Linked DNA regions of Callithrix jacchus. The protein of the gene in region 1 purifies or fractionates together with the protein of each later gene. This does not show direct contact. Links are inferred from orthologs where the notes say so. Each region holds a gene or a part of one and is shown on either strand. Other genes may lie near its edges. The genes, in order: ZC3H18, VIRMA, FNBP4, NCBP2, RBBP6 and SSRP1.

The links.
Region 2: the proteins of ZC3H18 (region 1) and VIRMA purify together in Homo sapiens (affinity purification with mass spectrometry; 3 studies listed by BioGRID and IntAct, counting the BioPlex papers as one, with this or other methods). This does not show direct contact. The link is inferred for Callithrix jacchus from reciprocal best matches to the Homo sapiens genes ZC3H18 and VIRMA.
Region 3: the proteins of ZC3H18 (region 1) and FNBP4 purify together in Homo sapiens (affinity purification with mass spectrometry; 3 studies listed by BioGRID and IntAct, counting the BioPlex papers as one, with this or other methods). This does not show direct contact. The link is inferred for Callithrix jacchus from reciprocal best matches to the Homo sapiens genes ZC3H18 and FNBP4.
Region 4: the proteins of ZC3H18 (region 1) and NCBP2 purify together in Homo sapiens (co-immunoprecipitation; 3 studies listed by BioGRID and IntAct, with this or other methods). This does not show direct contact. The link is inferred for Callithrix jacchus from reciprocal best matches to the Homo sapiens genes ZC3H18 and NCBP2.
Region 5: the proteins of ZC3H18 (region 1) and RBBP6 purify together in Homo sapiens (affinity purification with mass spectrometry; 3 studies listed by BioGRID and IntAct, counting the BioPlex papers as one, with this or other methods). This does not show direct contact. The link is inferred for Callithrix jacchus from reciprocal best matches to the Homo sapiens genes ZC3H18 and RBBP6.
Region 6: the proteins of ZC3H18 (region 1) and SSRP1 purify together in Homo sapiens (affinity purification with mass spectrometry; 3 studies listed by BioGRID and IntAct, with this or other methods). This does not show direct contact. The link is inferred for Callithrix jacchus from reciprocal best matches to the Homo sapiens genes ZC3H18 and SSRP1.

Annotation. Positions count from the first base shown.
Region 1 is NC_133521.1:46,237,006-46,240,505, forward strand, and holds part of ZC3H18 (zinc finger CCCH domain-containing protein 18), read left to right. Parts: intron 1-1,663; 5' UTR 1,664-1,677; coding exon 1,678-2,280; intron 2,281-3,500.
Region 2 is NC_133517.1:32,689,745-32,693,244, forward strand, and holds part of VIRMA (protein virilizer homolog), read left to right. Parts: intron 1-303; coding exon 304-397; intron 398-676; coding exon 677-1,221; intron 1,222-1,747; coding exon 1,748-1,983; intron 1,984-2,460; coding exon 2,461-2,713; intron 2,714-3,500. UniProt on the Homo sapiens protein: Associated component of the WMM complex, a complex that mediates N6-methyladenosine (m6A) methylation of RNAs, a modification that plays a role in the efficiency of mRNA splicing and RNA processing.
Region 3 is NC_133511.1:112,784,962-112,788,461, forward strand, and holds part of FNBP4 (formin-binding protein 4), read right to left. Parts: intron 3,117-3,500; coding exon 2,806-3,116; intron 2,511-2,805; coding exon 2,366-2,510; intron 1,087-2,365; coding exon 746-1,086; intron 1-745.
Region 4 is NC_133516.1:25,207,203-25,211,295, reverse strand, and holds the start of NCBP2 (nuclear cap-binding protein subunit 2), read right to left. Parts: upstream 2,801-4,093; 5' UTR 2,749-2,800; coding exon 2,671-2,748; exon of another isoform or gene 2,615-2,670; intron 1-2,614. Other genes in the region: protein NCBP2AS2, read left to right, coding at 2,961-3,260. UniProt on the Homo sapiens protein: Component of the cap-binding complex (CBC), which binds co-transcriptionally to the 5' cap of pre-mRNAs and is involved in various processes such as pre-mRNA splicing, translation regulation, nonsense-mediated mRNA decay, RNA-mediated gene silencing (RNAi) by microRNAs (miRNAs) and mRNA export.
Region 5 is NC_133513.1:25,151,349-25,154,848, forward strand, and holds part of RBBP6 (E3 ubiquitin-protein ligase RBBP6), read left to right. Parts: intron 1-918; coding exon 919-987; intron 988-3,301; coding exon 3,302-3,500. UniProt on the Homo sapiens protein: E3 ubiquitin-protein ligase which promotes ubiquitination of YBX1, leading to its degradation by the proteasome.
Region 6 is NC_133511.1:114,905,004-114,909,003, reverse strand, and holds the start of SSRP1 (FACT complex subunit SSRP1), read left to right. Parts: upstream 1-1,200; 5' UTR 1,201-1,344; coding exon 1,345-1,542; intron 1,543-1,587; exon of another isoform or gene 1,588-1,706; coding exon of another isoform or gene 1,707-1,760; intron 1,761-2,174; coding exon 2,175-2,360; intron 2,361-3,559; coding exon 3,560-3,665; intron 3,666-3,953; coding exon 3,954-4,000. UniProt on the Homo sapiens protein: Component of the FACT complex, a general chromatin factor that acts to reorganize nucleosomes. The FACT complex is involved in multiple processes that require DNA as a template such as mRNA elongation, DNA replication and DNA repair.

The DNA.
Region 1 (3,500 bases):
CCTGGGTAACGAGCGAAACTCCGTCTCAAAAAATAAAATAAAATAAAAAGAGAGGGGAGGGTTTCACATGTTTTCCAGGCTACACTCCAACTCTTGGGCTCAAATGATCCTCCCACCTCAGCCTCCCAAGTAGCTGGGATTACAGGCACATGCCACCACCCCTGGCTTAGGACTCACTTTTTCATAATTCTGCCCAGCAGTCTGGATAGTAACTGGATAGTGTAGAAAACTGAAAAGTGAGTCGTTTCAGAACTGTCTCCTTTCAAGTGAATTAAAATGGATTGGTTGGTTTGTAAATCTATGTTGCTAGCCATTTAGGGTTTTTAATTTTTTTTTACTTTTGACACAGAGTTTCACTCCTGTTGCCCAGGCCAGAGTGCAGTGGCACAATCTTGGCTCACTGAAACCTCTGCCTCCTGGTTTCAAGCGATTCTCCTGCTTCAGCTTCTCAAACAGCTGGGATTACAGGCACCCAGCACCACGCCCATCTAATTTTTTGTATTTTTGGTAGAGACAGGGTTTCACAATGTTGACCAGGCTGATCTTGAACTCCTAACCTCAGGTGATCCACCCGCCTTGGCCTGCCAGTGCTGGGATTACAGGCATGAGCCACCATGCCCGGCCCATTTAGTTTTTATAAAGTGATTACTTTTTAATTATTTGGGGTTTTTGGAGGGGTTTTTTGGTTTTTATTTGACACAGGGTCTCACCCTGTCTCCCAGGCTGAAGTGCAGCCTCGACCTCCTAGGCTCCAGTGATCCTCCCACCTCAGCCTCCCAGGTAGCTACGACTACATACAGGTGCCTTCCTATCACACCAAGCTAATTTTTGTATTTTTTTGTAGCGACGGGGTTTCGCTGTTCAGGAACTCCTGGACTCAAGTGATCTGTCCACCTCAGCCTCCCAAAGTGCTGAGATAACAGGCATGAGCCACTGCACCTGGCCAGTTTTGTCCTAATGTGTACTTAATTGTAGTGATTTCCATTAACAGCAGAAAAGAAAAAACATGTTTAACTGTAGGTTTAGATACCAACTCTTGATACTATGTGTCTTTAAACAGGTTGTCCTATTAAAAATGTAAATGTAAAAGGTGCATATGTTTATGTTTAAAGGGCACCAAAGGGGATTCTGAGAGGCCGTCAGAGCCCAGCCTGTGAGAAGTATGTTCAGTAACAGAACAGGCTCCAGACCTGGAAACTGGCAAAAGCTGGCCTAGCTTCCTGCTTCAGAGTGACTCCAGAAAAATGGTCAGACATGGGCCTGCAGTTTTGCTCTCTCATTCCATGAGACAGTTTATCTTGAATTTCAAAAGTAAATACTCTTAAGAATTCAGACAGCTGTCCCTTGCAGTCCGTATCTTGTTGCTCACTTTATGTGAACTTGTGTGTGCTGCCCTTGAGTGGGGAAGGGCTAGGCCGGGCCGTGTCTCATTCTGCCACTTCTCGTTTTGTGTGATTGCTAAAAACGGGAGGCACTTAACATCCAGGTTAGCCCAGCAGAGTCTCACCTCATGGAGTGGAGTTGTGACCTGTGTTTCTCTGTAGAGTGGAGTGTGGGACTTGGGGCAGGGTCATGTGGGGCCGAGCAAGGCCAGAAAAGTGAGGACAGGGTTCGTTTACCGTTTTGCTAAAGGCTGTAAATCTGTGTTCTCTCTCTTTTACAGAACCGTGGGTACTGATGGATGTGGCCGAGAGCCCTGAACGGGATCCTCGCTCTCCAGAGGATGAAGAGCAGCCACAGGGGCTCTCGGATGATGACATTCTGAGGGACAGCGGGTCCGATCAGGATTTGGACGGAGTGGGGGTGCGGGCTTCTGATTTGGAGGATGAGGAAAGTGCAGCCAGGGGGCCAGGCCAGGAGGAGGAAGAGAATCGCTCCGACGAGGAGGACCAGACAAGTGAACCTAAATCTCAAGACCAGGACTCAGAGGTGAATGAGCTGAGCCAGGGCCCGACCAGCTCCCCATGCGAGGAGGAGGGGGACGAAGGGGAGGAAGACCGGACAAGCGACCTTAGGGATGAGGCCTCGTCAGTCACCAGGGAACTGGATGAGCATGAGTTAGACTACGACGAGGAGGTCCCCGAGGAGCCGGCTCCCACCGTCCAGGAGGATGAGGCCGAGAAAGCTGGGGCCGAGGATGATGAAGAGAAGGGTGAAGGTGCTCCTGGGGAGGCGGGGCAGGCTGGTGTTCAGAGTCTGGGAGAAAAGGAATCCCTGGAGGCTGCCAAGGAGAAAAAAAAAGAGGATGACGACGGAGAAATTGATGACGGGGAAATAGACGTGAGTATGATGGAGCAGAGCGTCGCAGGGTGTCTGCCCGGCAGCCTGACGCCGGCCGTTGCGGGGAAGGAGGGACTCTGCATGGGACTGACGTGGTGATTTCTTACTAGAGATGGTGGCGGGACAGGTGTGCAGGAGAATGAGAGGCTTGTTTGGGGGCCGGTCCCAAAGTGATGGGAAAGGAAGACCCGGAAATGAAGTCTGAGCGTCGGCAGCTCCAGAAACCGGCAGCGGGGTTTCCGTGGCCCCTGGCTGGCCGGCTGCTGGCATGGCTTGGGCCGCAGTAAAAGGCCAAGTGCCCAGTGTTTTTCGGTTCCGGGGTGGAGAGGTAATGTTTTCCCCGTCTCTGCTGTCTTTGAGTGATACTCAAGTGAGTGTTCAACCAGAAACGGCATGGGTTTCCCCCCTTGTCATGTGTTTGGACCGAAAAGAATGAGGAAAGTTTCCATCTGTTCTGGATGTTCTTGTCGGCATTTTAGTGTTGGCCCTAGAGCCTGTCCTCTGGTGAGGGCACCTGCCGGACCACGGCTCTTTGGGCGCATTCCTGAAAAGACTGGTGGAGGCGGGTCCATGGGACTGTGTGTCATAGCGCCTCCGTTTCTGACAAAGCCAGCACACGTCTTTGTACATTGAAGTAATCTGGCTTTCAGGTTGAGGGGAAGGTACTGTTACCTGTGATCTGAGATATGGGTAGGTGGGGTTCTCCTCGCAGTTGATCCCGTTGGAAAAGTTATGAGTGTTTTGGGAGAAACAGCCCAAAGTCCTCCTGAGCGATAGTTTCCAGAGCTATTGAACTGAAAGGAACTGAGCAAGGGACAGAGCAGCTGGACTGAGCTGGTTTTGTTGTTTTTTATTTAAGGATCGCAGGGAAGGGGAGTCATTGCAGTGAAAGGTGCAGTTTGATGTTCTGGGTTGAGGCAGGTAAAGGTTGTCAGTTAGATGTGTAACCACTGGTTTGCCTTTAGTGCCATGTTTTTGGGGTTTTTTTTGAGACTGAGTCTGCTCTGTCAACCAGGCTGGAGAGCTGTGGTGCCATCTCAGCTCCCCGCAGCCTCCATCCCCCAGGTTCAAGCAATTCGCCTGCCACCATGCCTGGCTAACTTCTGTATTTTTAGTAGAGACGGGGTTTTGCCATATTGGCCAGACTTGTTTCCAACTCCTGACCTGGGGTGATCCGCCCATCTCAGCCTCCACGGTGCTGGGTCACAGGCATGAGCCGC
Region 2 (3,500 bases), on another chromosome or scaffold:
TTTTAAACTCTTAACATTTCTTTATCTTTGTTCTAGTTGGTTCTTTTCAATGAGGTTGTACATTTCAATTCTTTTTATTTACATAATATTGCATATAGTACAACATATGCCAGAGATAAATAATCTTGATAAATTCATTTAGCTCTAGGGCCTTAATCATGTTTTAAATTTACTTAATAAATATAAAATATTATATGTTCTTAACTTGGAGCTCATATTTTTAACTAATTCCTTGTCTGGAATTTTTTGTTGATCTGATGGGTACTAAGAAATGAAACATTTTGTTCATTTTTATTTTTAAAGAATATTGATAACTTGATGACCCCAGAAGGAGTTGGCCTTACCACTGCCTTACGTGTTCTCTGTAATATTGCATGCCCACCACCTCCTGTTGAAGGTAATGTGACTACTATATTTTTAAAAAAATACTATTCTTAAGGCTAGAATAAATATCATTTATTAAATATTTAGTTTAATAATTATTAAATGTTATTTATAATATTTAAGTGTAATTAAATATAAACATTTGTCATAAATATTTATAAAAATTTATTATAAATATAAAAACCATAAATAATTAAATATCATTTATTAAATATTCAGTTTAATAATTAATAATTCTTAATCTTAACATATAAATAATTAGTTTTGTTTCTTTTCCTTATCCTATATAAAGGTCAACAGAAAGACCTGAAATGGAATCTTGCCGTAATTCAGCTTTTTTCTGCTGAAGGAATGGACACATTTATTCGAGTTCTGCAAAAATTGAACAGTATTCTGACTCAGCCTTGGAGGCTCCATGTCAACATGGGGACTACCCTTCACAGAGTTACTACTATTTCAATGGCTCGCTGCACCCTCACACTTCTTAAAACTATGTTAACGGAACTCCTGAGAGGTGGATCCTTTGAGTTTAAGGACATGCGTGTTCCTTCAGCGCTTGTTACTTTACATATGCTCCTGTGCTCTATCCCCCTCTCAGGTCGTTTGGATAGTGATGAACAGAAAATTCAGAATGATATCATTGATATTTTACTGACTTTTACACAAGGAGTTAATGAAAAACTCACAATCTCAGAAGAGACTCTGGCCAATAATACTTGGTCTTTAATGTTAAAAGAAGTTCTTTCTTCAATCTTGAAGGTTCCTGAAGGATTTTTTTCTGGACTCATACTCCTTTCAGAGCTGCTGCCTCTTCCATTGCCCATGCAAACAACTCAGGTATCACTTCAATATAACATGCATCTTATAAATGACTGCGTAACACTTTTTTTAAAAGCCAGTGATTGTGTTAAAAAACAAAAACCCTCATCTCCCTTCCTCCCAAAAAGACATAAAATAACTGGATGAGGGGGAGATAAAACTGAAGCAAGTTGGTCGTTGAGGAAATACGGGGGTAACATTTTAAGTGAATTTTTGTTAAAGTGAGTTTTATTATGCTGTTATGTATGTTTGTACTTACATATTTCTGTTATTTTAAATCCTTTCCCCCCCTTATGTGTTAGAATTTGCCAATAACTGGGTTGCTTCACCAATGGACTCTACTCAACTAACTGCTCACCTGAGAACAATAAGATTTTTTAGACTCATTGAATTCAAGCAAATGTTTAACTGTATAATAGAAAATTGAATGTTTTAAGCATGCAGTAAAAATGTTCTTTTCATAACAGTTCTTCCTGAACAGTTTTTGTGACTATAAATAAATATTTAAAAAATCTACGTACACAACATTATACTTTTTTAACAGGTTATTGAGCCACATGATATATCAGTGGCACTCAACACCCGAAAATTGTGGAGCATGCACCTTCATGTTCAAGCAAAGTTGCTCCAAGAAATAGTTCGCTCTTTCTCTGGCACAACCTGCCAGCCCATTCAACATATGTTACGGCGTATTTGTGTTCAATTGTGTGACCTTGCCTCACCAACTGCACTTCTGATTATGAGAACTGTGTTGGATTTGATTGTAGAAGACTTGCAAAGGTATTTTCATTTTGCATTAAAAATTTTTTCCTCAAGTTATTTTTGACACATATATTTTTTCCCTTATAATTTGGAAACTAGGGTTTGGAATGCCCAGCTAACATATATACATGTAAATATACACATATACCTACATATACACACATATTTATATATGAATACTTATAGACTTTTTAAATTAGAAAGCTTTATTTCATCATTTCATGTGCAAGCTATCTTGACAATCTTGTTTTTTGGGTTTTTAAATGGTGAATTCTAAAGAAGTACTCTGATTTAAGAAAATATATTTTTGGAAACCTGAATTTATAAAATTTTTGCAGTAATTGTAAAATTCCAGAGAAGTTGTCATTATATCCAAGGAATTAAATGTTTTATGCAAAATTTGTGTAAGTTGATGTGTATTGAGAAATAAATAGTAGTTAAACAATGCCTTAAGATCAAAAACATTGTTTACTAAATGTATTGATTTTATTTCAGCACTTCAGAAGATAAAGAAAAACAGTATACTAGCCAAACCACCAGGTTGCTTGCTCTTCTTGATGCTCTGGCTTCACACAAAGCTTGTAAATTAGCTATTTTGCATCTAATTAATGGAACTATTAAAGGTGATGAAAGATATGCAGAGATATTCCAGGATCTTTTAGCTTTGGTGCGGTCTCCTGGAGACAGTGTTATTCGCCAACAGTGTGTTGAATATATCACATCCATTTTGCAGTCTCTCTGTGATCAGGTATTTATACTTATTTTATAGTATCTCTCTCTCTCTCTCTCTCTCTCTCTCTCTGTCTGTCTCTCTGTGTGTGTGCATTTAAGTATCTTTTTTTTTTTGTATTTAAGTATCTTAATGTAAGTCTTGGCTTTCATCTGTATTTTATTATTCCTGCTATTCATGGGTTTCTCTGAAGAGCTTTATTTTTTTCCTTCAAAACCTTGGGTAATTGTTTTATGTGCCACTGTTTCTGTATTTTTTAGGGTCTAATTAATTTTCCTTGTAATTACATTATATTCCAAGTCATTCTTTTCTTTTTTTTTGAGATGGAGTCTCGTTCTGTCACCCAGGCTGGAGTGCAATGGTGGGATCTCAGCCCACTGCAACCGCCATCCGCTGGGTTCAAGTGATTCTCCTGCCTCAGCTTCCCAAGTAGCTGAGATTACAGGCACACAACACCATGCCTGGTAAATTTTTGTATTTTTTAGTTGAGATGATGTTTCACCATGTCGGTCAGGCTGGTCTCGAACTCCTGACCTCAGGTGATCACCTGCCTTGGCCTCCCAAAGTGCTGAGATTATAGGTGTGAGCCACCACGACTGGTCACAACAAGTCATTCTTAAATTTTGTAGCTTTGTGATTGGTTGAATTAATATGTTCGCTGTTAGGGAAACTTTTGAAGACTACTACACTTTTAGTGTGTTTCAGACTACTTTGCTTGTAGATGTTGGCTAACAGTAGTAGTATTTTTTCCTGTTGTCTATGTTATTGACTTCCAGTTTATGGTTTCATGGGTTGATGAGAGTTG
Region 3 (3,500 bases), on another chromosome or scaffold:
CTAACAGCCAGAAGGTAGAAACAATCCAAATGTCCATCAACTATTGAATGGTAAATTGTGGTATACACATATACATAGAGTACACTATTACTTAGCATACTGATACATGCTACACAGATGAACCTCAAGAACATTATGCTAAGTGAAAGAAGCCAGGCCCAAAAGGTCACGTACTTCATGTATTTACATGAAGTATTCAGAATCGGTAAATCCAGACACAGCAGATTGGTGTGGTAGTTCCTAAGTGTTGGGAGGAGATAATGGAGAATGACTGCTTAATGGATACAGGGTATTTATTCTTTTGGGGTGATAAAAATGTAACTAGACAGAGATGGTGGTTATATAATATTGTGAATATACTAAAACTGAAAATGGTTAATTTTTTTTTAATTTGAGATGGAGTCTTGCTCTGTTGCCCAGGTTGGAGTGCAGTGGCATAATCCTGGCTCACTGCAACCTCTGCCTCCTATGTTCAAATGAATTCTCCTGCCTCAGCCTCCTGAGTAGCTGGAATTATAGGCATGTGCCACCAGGACCAGCTAATTTTTGTATTTTTAGTAGAGACAGGTTTTCACTATCTTGACCAAGCTGGTCTCTAACTCCTGACCTCAAGTGATCCACCTGCCTCAGCCTAGCAAAGTGCTGGGATTACAAGCGTCAGCAAAAGTGCCTGGCCTGAAAATGGTTAATTTTATGTTACGTGAATGTAACTTCAATAAAATTTTTAAAAAGAGGTTTATTATACCTTGTCTTTCTTTCCTTTTTTTGTCTTTTCAGGTGGTGGCATTTTGGGAGCTGGTGGTGGTGGTGGAGGAGGAGGAGGTGGAGGTGGTGGTGGTTCTATAATGGCAGTGGTAGGCACAGCACCTCGGGCCTGGACTGGCTGCAATGAGGGAGCAGTCACTCCAATTGGGACAGAACATTCTGCATAACTCATAATTGCAGGTGCTGCTGCTAGTCCAAGGTAATTTGACTGCAGGCTCATTCCTCTGGCCTGATGACCCATTCCTGCTGTTGGATGGCTAACTGGTATTGTCTGATGTCCAATTCCTGTGGCCTGGTTTCCAATCCCTGCTGCCTGGAGACCTAACACAGAAAACATAAAATGATACTATAAAAAGGACATCATGACAAGAACAGATCCAATGAATCCAATACACCCTTATCTAAAAAATACAGCCATATTTGCTAGTAGCAAAATATATTAATTTTGAATATCTTGGCATTACACTACCTAAACATCAAAATCATCGATATACATAAATGTACAAAAGACAATCTGGGCCGGGCACGGTGGCTCACGCCTGTAATCCCAGCACTTTGGGAGGCCGAGGCGGGTGGATCACGAGGTCAAGAGATCGAGACCATCCTGGTCAACAAGATGAAACCCCGTCTCTACTAAAAATACAAAAATTAGCTGGGCATGGTGGTACGTGCCTGTAGTCCCAGCTACTCGGGAGGCTGAGGCAGGAGAATTGCCTGAACCCAGGAGGCGGAGGTTGCGGTGAGCCGAGATCGCGCCATTGCACTCCAGCCTGGGTAACAACAGTGAAACTCCGTCTCAAAAAAAAGACAATCTGGAAGGATATATGCCGAACATTTTTTGTTTTTGTTTTTGAGACAGAGTTTCGCTCGTTACCCAGGCTGGAGTGCAATGGCACGACCTCGGCTCACTGCAACCTCCGCCTCCTGGGTTCAGGCAATTCTCCTGCCTCAGCCTCCCGAGTAGCTGGGATTACAGGCACATGCCACCAGGCCCAGCTAATTTTCTGTATTTTTGGGAGAGGAGAGAGGGGGTTTCACCATGTTGACCAGGATGGTCTTGATCTCTTGACCTTGTGATCCACCCGCCTTGGCCTCCCAAAGTGCTGGGATTACAGGCTTGAGCCACCGCGCCTGGCCATTTTTTCTGTTTTTGAGACAGGTTCTTGCTCTATCGCCCAGACTGGATGGAGTGCAGCAGTGTGATCACAGTTCATTGCAGCCACAACCTCCAGGGCTCAAGTGATCCTCCCACCTCAGTCTCCCAAGTAGCTGGGACTACAGGTGCGAACCACCATGCCTGACTAATTTTTGTATTTTTTGTAGACAGGCTTTTGTCGTATTGCCCAGGCTGGTCTCCAACTCCTGGGCTCAAGCAATCCACTGGCCTCAGCTTTCCAAAGTGCTGAGATTATAGATGTGAGTCACTATGCATGGCCAATTAAACTGTTAAAAGTGGTTTTTTTTTTTTTTTTTTGAAGTAACATAAATGCAAACAGTCTTTGCAAAGAACCTTAACATTTCTTTAGTTTTTATAGCATCTAATGCTGGGAAAAAAAAGAAACAATACATTGAGGAAAAACCATGCTTTAATCATAATTACCTGTAGCTATAGCTGACTGGCTATAGAGAACTGGAGAACTGCCAATGGTAGCTGACCTCTGAACTACTGCAGTACTAATTTCTGTAGCTTTCCTCTTTGTCCCTTTAGTGGAAGGAGAGCTAGAGATGGTAGAATCCACTGAACTCTGAAACACAAAAATTTGTGATCAGTGGCTGAAGGCCCTGGTTAAACATATGCCACCCCGTCTCCTTTTTTGAGACAGGGTCTCGTTCTGTTGCACAAGCTGCAGTGGTGAGATCATGACTCACTGCAATCTCCTGGGTTTAAGCAATCATCCCGCCTTGACCTGTCAAAAGCACTAGGACTATAGGCATGAGACACCGTGCCCAGCCTTTAAAACATACACTTCTAAAATAAAATACAGTGTCAAGCATGCTCCATCCTCACAATCATTCAGAATGCCAAAGGACATTACTCACCTGGGTAGTTACAACTGTGGTTTGTGCTGAAGGTTTCAAAGGTGTATCCTCCTCTGTTCCTGGGGCAGGGGGCTCCTCACTTCCCTCATCCTCCATCTCTACCTCCTGGATCTCACCATCCTCCACAGGAGGAGGTGGTGGAGGAGGGGGTGGAGGTGATTCTGGAGGTGGAGGTGGGGGTGGTGGCATTTCCAAGGGTAATGGAGGTTGAAGCACCGGAACATTTGACTGAAGGAGGGTCCAGAATGGAGTAAATGGCATGAGTGATGAAGAAGAAACTTGACCAGAAAAGGGTTCTTTACAAAGAGAACCTATGAAAACAGATAAGAATCAGGAAAAAAGCAAGACACAAACTTCCTAGCTTATATTCATAGAAACGGTCAACTGGTCAGTAAGACAAACATCTACAGGAACCTAGCACAATGTACAAAATAGTATAGAATGCGGTGTCAAGCAGCAGGGAGTGGCTCCTTCCAAAAAAAAAAAAAAAAATATGCCCCACAGGCATCTATTCTATACTGATGTAACTAAAATATTCAACAACTCAATTCAGAAATGACGTCCATGGAAATATAAACTTATGAACCTTACAGTTGGCACCTTCCCCATCTGTGTTATACCTGTCTTGTCCTTTGGGTCCATACTTATGGACAAGTAGAAGGAAAATATTACATTGATTCAATGAGAAATGCAGT
Region 4 (4,093 bases), on another chromosome or scaffold:
AACATGGTGATGCCCCATCTCTACTAAAAATACAAAAAAAATTAGCTGGGCATGGTGGTGGGCACCTGTAATCCCAGCTACTTGGGAGGCTGAGGCAGGAGAATTGCTTAAACCTGGGAGGTGGAGGCTGCAATGAGCCGAGATGGCGCCATTGCACTCCAGCCTGGGCCTCAGAAGCAAAACTCCATCTCAAAAAAAAAAAAAAAAAAATCCACAGAACAATAGTCATTCTATGTTAAAATGAGGTTTCTAGAACTATGAGACATTAGACAAAGTAAATTCCTGTCATTTTACTGCTGTCACTGATTTGTTAACATGGATGGGGCATCTTCTTTTTCTACTTTCCTCACACATAAGTAAGGTCCAAATAAATAGCCTACAGTTTAAGATAACTACGGTACAAGTACTTAACTATATGAATATGGATTCCATTCACAGAATGCTAGAAATTCCACATGACAGTATGGTATTATTATCTAAATAAAGCTCTAGGTTTTAGACTGAAGAGATGAATAATAGACAAAGTCAAAAGTTTTCAGTTTTCATTTTACATTGAAGTTAAAAATGGTTAGGATGTGGAATTGTCTGAAGTAATAGCTGTAAAAGTGGTAGAAGTGCAAATCATGCCTGGCACTAAAGCATCTAAAAACCTGACCAGCCGGGATCAGTGGTTCATATCTGTAATCCCAACACTTTGGGAAGCCCAGGCAGGTAGATTGCTTGAGTCCCCGAGTTTGAGACTAGCCTGAACACTGCAGGGAGACCTGTCTCTACAAAAAGCCATATGTAGTGGTGCGAACCTGTGGTCCCAGCTTCTCCAGAGGCTGAGGTGGGAGGATCACTTGGGCTTAGGATGCTGAGGCTGCAGAATCGTGATTGTGCCACTGCACTTCAGCCGAAGCAATAGAGCTAGTCTCTGTCTCAAAAAATAAATAAGTCTTGTTTTATTTGAGACATACTCTCACTCTGTCGCCCAGGCTGGAATGCATAAATAATAATAAATCATTTTAAGACATAGTCTCATTCTGTCACCCAGGCTGGAGTGCAGTGGCATGATCTCAACTCACTGCAACCGCCTTCTGGGTTCCAAGCGACTCTCCTGCCCCAGCCTCCCAAGTAGCCAGGATTACAGGCAACCGCCACCATGCCCAGCTAATTTTTGTATTTTTAGTAGAGATGGGGTTTCACCATCTTGGCCGGGCTGGTCTTGAACTCCTGACCTCGTTATCCACCTGTCCTGGCCTCCCAAAGTGCTGGGATTACACGTGTGCGCCACCGTGTCGTGCCCGTCCTTAAAAATTTTTTTTTTTTGAGATGGAGTCTCGCTGTGTTGCCCAAGCTGGAGTGCAGTGGCGCGATCTCAGGTCACTGCAACCTCCGCCTCCTGGGTTCAAGCATTCTCCTTTCAGCCTCCGGAGTAGCTGGGACTACAGGCGCGCCCCACCACGCCCAGCTAATTTTTTGTATTTTGAGTAGAGACGGGGTTTCATCATGTTGGCCAGGATGATCTCGATCTGTTGACGTCATGATCTGGCCACCTCTGACTCCCCAAGTTCTGGGATTACAGGCGTGAGCCACCATGCTCGGCTGAATAAATTTAAGAGCTTCCCCAATTTGCTGTCAAACAAAATTTCCTTTTCCCTACTTTAGTAACACATTTCACACATTCTCCACACCTACCCTCTGCTATGTACAGCCCTTCATTTCCCAGTCACATGGGGATTCCCCCCGCTTTTCTGAATCTTCACTACTTCTGTCTTAACTCACTTCTGCTTAGATTCTGATTACTTCCCTCCATTTATAATCCATACTACGGGGAATTATGAGCTCGTCGAGTGCAAAAATCTGTCTTCCCTCTCCCTCTAGGGTTTAGTACAAGGCTTTAGCAACAGCACTCAATAAACATTTACTAAATAACTGGGTTAAAGAGTCCCGCTAGCCCCAACCGTATTCCATCCCTGCCTTTGTTGATACTGAAAAGCCTACTCTGAATATCTGCAGCCTCCCCCTTTTTCACAAAATATAGTGATACAGTATTCGATATAGTTGGGACTAAAAATTTCCCTCTTCTGAAATGCAGCAACTCTCCCATCTTTACACCCTCAACGTGCCCAGCTTGACGGGTCCACCTCCTACTCCGAAGGTTCCCCGAGGGCGGAGTGAGGACTCCACTCGTGTCTCCCACGCACCGCGTACAGTTTCCGTAGGACCACCCTCCCAGTGAGGGGGCCCGAATCGCGGAAAGGCACTGCTTCGCTGATTTAAAAAACAAAGTAAAAAGCCCCGTGTCTGCATCAGGAAGGCGCCTCTACAGACTCAGGGAGTTAGGACACCCCTCCCCCTTGTTACGTAGTCACCTTCCCGAGGCAAACCGTGGAAACGGGAGCCACTACTACTACCACTCAAACCTCTCGGCGCTGGCCGGGGTACCGGGAGTGCCTGCTAGGGAACGGGAAAGCGAGCCTCAAATTCTCAATCTTCCAGAGAAAGTGGCTTCATCGATATCCAAACGCCCTTGCAGCACCCATTCCCTGCCTCCCCAGCAGGCACCGAGGCCCCACTTGGCGTTTGGGGACTCCAGCATAATGGGATGCAACACGAGACAAGAGCAAACCGTTTCTCAGCGTTCTGGCCCAGGGCCTTCCCCTCTCGCGGCCGGGCCTCCCTCACCCGGAAGTGCTGGTCCCGGTACTGGCTCAGCTCCACGTAGGAGTCGCTGCGCAGCGCCTTCAGGAGGCCACCCGACATAGCGCAGAGAAGCGGACGAGGATGCGACAACTCCCGACACGAGGCGGCGACTGCCGTGGCGGAAGCGGAGACGGGCGGAGACGCGCATCTTATTGGACCCAATCCGGGCGACAGTATCGTCATCAAGCTGCGCGAGCACAAAAGGCGTCGGGTCGGGCCCGCGGAGCAGAAGGTAAGGGCGGCGCGCTGCGGTTTTCGGGCGCCGGGAGAGGATGGTGCTCCGACGGCTGCTGGCCGCCTTGCTGCACAGCCCGCAGCTAGTGGATCGTCTGTCGGAGTCGTGGCCTATCCGACGTGCGGCGCAGCTCACAGCCTTCGCACTGCTCCAGGCCCAGCTGCGGGGCCAAGACGCGGCCCGCCGCCTGCGGGACCTCGCGGCTGGGCCCGCGGGCTCCCTGGGCCGCCGCGTTGAGCGATTCAAAGACGCTTTCACCCAGGAGCTACGCCGCGGCCTCCGGGGCCGCTCAGGGCCACCACCAGGTAGCCAGAGGGGCCCGGGCGCAAACATTTAAGCCTGGGCTGCGCGGGGCTGAGGCCGCTTCTGGGCTCTATTCTGGCCTCGGCGTTGAGGGGTCATTCCGGGCACTGCGCACGGCCTCGAATCCTGACTCCGATTTTTGGCCTGCGGATATCCCACTCAGAAGAGCCTAGGCCAGACCGCCGTCTCCGTTGAAGTCTTGTGATTTGACAAGGCACAGTGTGGAGAAAGACCCCGAAGCCTAACAGAGGTGAAGATGGGCTGGGTCCAGTCACAGCACCTATGGAGAGCCACCGGCCGAAGCCACAGAGCCTTTCCTCTGCAAATGGGATTGAAACTCTTGACAGATGCTGCTGAATCTGCACGGGTATAGCAGGACACTTAATTCCAGGGACGATATGGATAAAAAGACCACCCTACAGCTGCCAAAATCCTTTGATTAAATGTGTGAGCTGATTAATAGGCATGAGTGTGATACTTCTCAGGCAAGATGGATGAAGAATACTGGGGACTGTAGGCCTATGGTAATAATAAACACATACTTTATGAAATGAGTATTTATTCTGTGCTGCGACTTGCTAATAGCATTCTGTGTGTGTGTTTTTGTGTCATCTCCTTAAAACCACATTCACATGAGGAAGCAGAGATGGGGTAGTCTCATTGTGTTGCCTCGGCTGGTCTCAAACTCGAGCCCAACTGATCCTCCTGCCTCAGCCTCCCAAAGTGCTGGGATTACAAACAAGAGCCACTGAAACAGAAACAGAGGCTGCTGCTTAAGTTGCCCAAAGCCTTGCAGAGTAGGATGTGGGCAGAGGCATTTGACTGCTGGGCTTAAGTCCTTAACACAGCTCTGCAGCATTTATCCTG
Region 5 (3,500 bases), on another chromosome or scaffold:
TAAATCCTTTCTAAAATACAAAATCTTAGAAGTTTTTTTCTACTTTCATGTCAGTTAATGAGTAGGATTAGAATTACAGAAAAGTTATTTTAAATATGGCATCAGTTATTTTCCTGGTAGGTTTAACTTTTTTATCCTTAATTTGGATGATAAAGTTTGGTTTGAGTACATAAATACATAATAAGATTAAATCTACCAAACAAAAATTTGTTGTTTTAAGTCATGTCTTATTCCACAGGATATGTTTTTTCCACCCTGAAATAAAAAGAATTTTTATTTTCTCTGTGGGATATTTTATGGCATTGAAAATCAGCAGACTTACTTAATATCTTTTTATTTATATAATTTCTTCTGATTATATACTCCAATTGAAAACTGATATATCCTTAAAGTATGAGTTACTAGCAGGATTATATCAGTAGAATGAACACAGGATTTAGAAACAGGTAGACTTGAGTTTTGAATCCCATATTCTCTATTTTCTAGCTGTGTAACAGTGGTCATGTGGTTTTACTCCCTAACATCCATTTCCTTGTTTGGAATTGGAATGACACTACCTACCTTAACATGTAAAATGGCTTCATAGTGCCCAGCAGACAAAAGGGCTCTTTTCCTTGTATATAACAGTAAGTTCACAGAGTAATTTATAGAACGCTAATTAAAATGTAATATTGTGTAAAGTAATCTATTTTCAGGTCTAATTACTGTTATAATACTGTTAATTGGGGGGAAAGTTAGTTTTAAGTAAATATAATGTTTGCTCACCTCTCCTCTATCCGAAATAAGTTTAAGAATTGGGGAGTAGGAAAAAGTTTCGAGTAGTTAAAATCAGTGTTTTAACATCTGTGCATGGAAAGGTCATGTATTATACCCATGGAGAAATACTTGAGCTTATTTTATTTTTTTTCTCTCATACAGTTCCAACAAACTTGGCTATCTGGTTTCTCCACCACAACAAATCAGAAGAGGGGAGAGGAGCTGCTACAGGTAGGTATGCTAAAAATCTTGGAAAATAATTATCTTATTATATATATATCACCAAAAAATACATAGAACATCAAAGAAATTAAAGCACAGCAGTGGCAGGAAGGAAGGAGGTCATTATCACTCTTAAGTCCTCAACAGTTATCCTCAAAGAGGCCTAGAAAAGAATAAATTACATATAGTATCTTAAATGATGGTTTTTAAGACATTTTTAATGTTCCTTCCCAGTGATTACTTTCTCTCTATCAGCAAACAGCAGAGTATTGTCTTGTATTTACCCTCTTGGAAGTAGAAAAAAGTCATTAAGACTCAGACAATATCTAAGATACCAGTTTAAGATGAAAGTTAACAAGCTCAGCTCCCAACTGTCAAAAAGAATTACATTTATTTATCTTCTAGACTCCACTGTCCCAATCATCTCCCACCTTCTCTTCCAAAAGAAGAGACAGGAGATTGTTAGAGGCTCCTGCTCTGGGCAGGTACAAGCATTATTAATCCAAGAAGTAAGAGTGTTACCATCTAGGTCAGGGGTCCCCAACCCTGGGCCACAGACTGGTACCCATACTTGGCCTGTTAGGAACCAGGCCACACAGCAGGAGGTGAGCAGCAGGTGAGCAAGCTTTACCACCTGAGTTCCACCTCCTTTCAGATGAGCAGTGGCATTAAGATTGTCTGTCATAGGAGCATGAACCCTGTTGTGAACTGCACACGTGAAGGATCTAGTTTACGCACTCCTTATGAAAATCTAACTAATGCCTGATGATCTGAGGTGGAACAGTTTCATCCCAAAATCATCCCCGCATCCCACTCCTGTCCCTGGAGAAATTGTCTTCCACAAAACAGGTCACTGGTGCCAAAAAGGTTGGGAACTGCTGGTCTAGATCATAATCACCACCAGAATAAAGAGGCTTCCAAAACTTTATAAAAAGAGTTTTGGCCAAGCATGGTGGCTCATGCTGGTAATTTGAGACTTTGGGAGGCTGAAGAGGGAGGATTGCTTGAAGCCTGAAGTTCAAGATTAGCCTGAGCAACATAGCAAGACTCTGTCTCTACAAAAAAAAAAGTTAAAAATCAGCCAGGCATGGTGGGGTGCACCTGTGGTCCCAGCTACCTGGAAGGCTGAGGCAGGAGGATCACTTGAGCTTAGGAGGTCCAGGCTACAGTGAGCTATAACCGCACCACTGCACTTTAGCCTGGGGGGTGGAGTGAGACCCTTTGTCAAAAAAAGAGAGAAAATTAGAGATACCTCCTAGTGCTTCAGTGCTAAACTTATTAAAAAGTTTACTCTGTCATTACTGGATCATATTTTAAAAGAAAGGTAATATTTACTAATTCATGGCTCTCTGAACAAAATGCTTAAAATCTAAAGCCCTGCTACTGCTGTTGTGTACCAGTGATTTATAATTTAAAGAACCTGTAGTTTAACATAAGTGAGCCCATTCTGTTTCTTTGGTGAGGCACAAATTAGAAACTTTAGCCCAACACTGTTATTTTTACTTAAGCCTTTGAGAGAAAGCATTGATATTTTCATTGTTAATTATACAAGTTAAAACTAGAATTTATTCTGCTTTATATGATCTTCACCCACCTTCTACCTCAAAAAAGAGGTTACAGGAGGTGGTTTTCCTTCATTGAAATTTTTGGGGCCGGGTGCATTGGCTCTCGCCTGTAATCCCAGCACTTTGGGAAGCCGAGGCGGGCAGATTACGTAGATCAGGATTTTGAAACCAGCCTGATGAAACCCTGTCTCTACTAAAAATACAAATAATTAGCTGGGGATGGTGGCACACGCCTGGAGTCCCAGCTACTTTGGGAGGCTGAGGCAGGAGAATTGGTTGAACCCTGGAGATGGAGGTTGCAGTGAGCCAAGATCAGACCACCACACCCCAGCCTGGGCAACAGAGCAAGACTCTGTCTCAAAAAAATAAAAAAATAAATGAATAAGTAAGCTTTTGGGTAGAACTAGGTCATAGCAGCATTAACCTGTCAGTTCCTTCAAAAGACAGTTTAGGAAGTAATGGGTCGTAATTAGTGGAGTGATAATCAATCTGGAATTCATGAAAGAGAACTTCTAAATACAATATTTCCATGTAGAGAAAGTCCCATAAACTTGCATCATCTCAGTCACTACATGACCTTAAAAATTATGTTTTAGAGTTATTTTTACAAATAAATGGTACTTATGATTCTATACTAGTTGAATAGTTGTATTCCACTGTTTTTAAATTTGAAAATAATTATGGATAGAAAAGATAAGCTTACTTGTCTCAGGTGACTTTAGTTTGAAGAAGTAATATCTTGGAATTTATTTCTCCAGAAGTATAAACCGTGGGCGACACCACAGCGAAAGATCACAGAGGACTCAAGGCCCGTCACTACCTGCAACTCCAGTCTTTGTACCTGTTCCACCACCTCCTTTGTATCCGCCTCCTCCCCATACACTTCCTCTCCCTCCGGGTGTTCCTCCTCCACAGTTTTCTCCTCAGTTTCCTCCTGGACAGCCACCACCTGCTGGG
Region 6 (4,000 bases), on another chromosome or scaffold:
CTTACCCCAGGATTGAGTTAGCAAGCTGGTGTACTGATTGTCAGGGAAATCTTGAATTTACATATTCTGTACTAATATCTTCACACAGGACACATCATCAATCATTCTGAACATACAGTCATGGTGATTACGACGGAAGAGAACTGGACTGGTGGTAAGGAAGTCTGGGTCCTGGCTTTGTTGCCAACTCACTGAGACCCTGGACAACTCAAGTCCCTTTGGGTCTCAGTTTTCCTATCAGTAAAAGAAGGTTGGGGTAGAAAAACTAAAGCATCTTTTCCAGGTCTGGTTTTCTCCTATGTTGCAAAATGCACTCTGGGACTATAGGAGGAGGCCTGGCTTCCGCAACCCCAGGATGATGTGGTTTCAAATCAGTTCCGGCTCCGAGGTGAATCTGACACCAGGACTTGAACTGGATACAGCCATTTGCCAGCCTCTTGAGGGAACCTATAAATTGCGGTTAGGGATGTGAAGATTTTGGGTATAGACAGTGAACTTGACAGTTCAGCCAGAAAGCAGTGCACTTACTATGACACCATCATCTACATTCTCTTCCCAGCCAGTGGGAGAGATTGTTTCTTTCCACAACTCTTAAATACTTTTCTTCTTGTCCCATAGACTCCTTTCCATGACCCACAAACTATTTTGCAGACAGAGGGGCACGCATCTTTCCAATACACACCCCCACCCCCACCCCTGTACTAAGTCTGATACGATAAAATCACACAATTTTTCTTTAGTATCCAGTCTCCATTGAAGAAGTGTCCGTAGTTTCTAAAGAGCCCTACACACATTTTCGAAGCAGATTACACCCGGGTGAGAGAGACTTCACTGCAACCACATTTCTCTCAGGTCCTCCAGCGTCGCCGACGCTCTATGCGACGGTCTCGCAGGCGGGCCTGGCTTGTGTCTCTCTAGCCGGCTCGTCCTCTCTGTGGCATGTGCTTGGCTTCCGGTGGCGGGACGCGGGGCCGCGCACGCGGGAAAAGCTTTCCCGGTGTCCCCCCCCAACCCCCGCCCCCCCGCCCCCCGCTTCCCCCCAACGCGCCCACCTCCCACGCCCGGGCCCTCGCGAGGTTGCAGCCTGAGTAGGTAGGTGGTGGTCGTCCCCCGGTCTCAGGAAGGCACGAGCCCCGCTACCCCGCGGGACGCTCGACATGGACCATTCCGCATTCGAAACCGCGGGGAGCGGGCGAATCCATTCTGTAGGGCGGGGGTGAACCGTGGGCCTGGGGCTGCGGGGTGGTGGGAACGGTGCTAGGGAAACCCTGCACTCTAAGCTGTGTTGGGGCGCGTGCGAGGTGCGGGCTCCGGGCAGACCCTGGGGTTCCGCTGCTCGTTGCCATGGCTCCCGCTGGAGCGGCCAGAGTGGGTGTCGGGTTGGGTGTCAGCGCTGTTCCAGGCCCGATTCTCCACCTGGGCCTGGGCCTGAACCCTCGGGCACTGCAGCGCCCGCCTATGGGTTCCCAGGCAGAGGAAATCCTGAGACATCTCAGGCGCAGATGGGGGTTGCTACCTGGCTTCATCGGCGAGTACAGCGAGGTGTTTGTTGTCTTTTATGCTTATCTGTCTTCCTCTTGAACTCAGATTCCCTACCTGCTGAGCATCCGCACACCCACTCAGGAGTTGGGGCCCAGCTCCCAGTTTACTCGGTTTCCCTTGTGCAGCCTAGGGCTCTGCCCAGGCCACCACAGGCAGGGGTCGACATGGCAGAGACACTGGAGTTCAACGACGTCTATCAAGAGGTGAAAGGCTCCATGGTGAGAACGGCTCACACAGTTGATACAAGTAGATAGAAGGAAGGAGGGTAGAGTTTTTGTCCGTTAACGAGAGCTTGCTTTGGGAATGTTATTTTGGAAAAAGAAGACTCAGTATAATGTGTTCCTAGTATTTTCCCCAACACAAGGCAATAGAGAGATGGTCTCGGGAGTTATAGGGACCATATATGCTGTTCAGTTCCCAATTCCTGTTTTACAAATGAGGAAACTGAGAATCTGTAAGGGATCTAGGTACCAGAGCCTGGTTTAGAATCTAGACTCCTTGGCCTCCTCAGCTGTGGCAGCTGCATTTGTCATCTGGCCAGCGCCCTCACAGCTGGAATGTGTGTTGGGTAGAACTGTACCCAGGACATGCTTTGTACTGTCCCCATGCATCTGAGCCTGTTTTTCTTACAGAATGATGGTCGACTGAGGTTGAGCCGCCAGGGTATCATCTTCAAGAATAGCAAGACCGGCAAAGTGGACAACATCCAGGCTGGGGAGCTAACAGAAGGCATCTGGCGCCGTGTAGCTCTGGGCCATGGACTTAAACTGCTTACAAAGAATGGCCATGTCTACAAGTATGATGGCTTCCGAGAATCGGTGAGATGTCCCTTGGCTATAAACCCCTTACAAACCTCCTTTTTACTGCGTCATCTTCTTTTAGTCTTCTAAAGACTTGCAGTTCCCTTCCTCGTGTAACCCTGTGATTGCCAGGCCATCAGGCAGTCGGCGTTCAGCCTTGAGTGTTGAGTTGTGAACTTTTGTGTGAACACCTTCACTCCGGAAGGTTTTCTGCTGTTTTGATTTAGATGGTAGTTTCCGCCTGTGGCTTTTATCAAGGTTCAGAATCTTAGCTTGATGTCTTTTGTGTTATTTTTTTTTGTGACAGGGTCTTGCTCTGTTGCCTAGGCTGGAGTGCAGTGATTTAATCTCGGCTCACTGCGGCCTCTCCCTCCTGGGCTTAAGCAATCCTTCCACCTCAGCCTCCTGAGTAACTGGTACCACAGGCACATGCCACCATGCCCAGCTATTTTTTCACAATTTTTGGTAGAAATGGGATTTCACCACATTACCCAGTCTGGTCTTGAGCTCTCAGACTTGAGGGATGGCCCATCCTGACCTCCCAAAGGGTTGAGATTACAGGCATGAGCCATTGCACCTAGCCAGCTTGATAAAGTGTGGGTTTTGTTTTTCATTTTGAGCTGCTTGAGTTAAAGGCTTTATTTGATTTTAATTTCCACTTTCATTAAAGTAATGCCTATACAAAGCTTTTATAAAGTCAGATGGCACTGTGAAACCCATAACCAGGAATGTCAGATCCAGTGGCCAGAAGCAAGATCTTTGAACAATTTTTTTTTTGGTAAAGGAGTTTTGCTTTTGTTGCCCAGGCTAAGTGCAATCGTGTGATTTCAGCTCACCAAAACCTCCACCTCCCGGGCTTAAGTGATTCAGCCTCCCGAGTAGCTGGGATTACAGGTGCCCACCACCACACCCAGCTAATTTTGTGTTTTTAGTAGAGACAGGGTTTCTCCATGTTGGTCAGGCTGGTCTAGAACTCCCGACCTCAGGTGATCCACCCTCCTCAGCCTCCCAAAATGCTGGGATTACAGGCGTGAGCCACCACACCAGGCCTCAACAGTCTTTTAAACAATGTTAGGGCTGGGTTGCTTAGTAGCATGGGTTTCTCATACAGCCTATTTTGGGGCAATTTCTCAGAAATAGATCATCGCAGGACATTCAAGTCTGTGTTAAGGCCACCAAGGTTTACTGGGATTGTGCTTTCTTTCCTCCACCCACAGGAGTTTGAGAAACTCTCTGATTTCTTCAAAACTCACTATCGCCTTGAGTTAATGGAGAAGGACCTTTGTGTGAAGGGCTGGAACTGGGGGACAGTGAAATTTGGTGGTGAGTCCTGGGGAGGACTGAGGTTTGGGGAAGAAGATAGCCTGAAGGGTGTCAGCCTTTGACTTGTTCTGCTCTTTTCCCTCTGCCAGTGTCTCTGGTTTCCTATCTGTTTGCACGTTCATCATGAGTACTGATTATTGGGTACCTACAGTGTACTGGGCACTGTGCCGGGAGTTGGATTACAGTGTGAACAGACTCGCCCCGGTTTCCCATCTCTGTGGACCTCGGGTTGGTGGGAATGTTGCTTATGCAGGGGAGCCTGCGGCTTGATAAGCCCTTTCCTCACAGGGCAGCTGCTTTCCTTTGACATTGGTGACCAGCCAGTCTTCGAGATA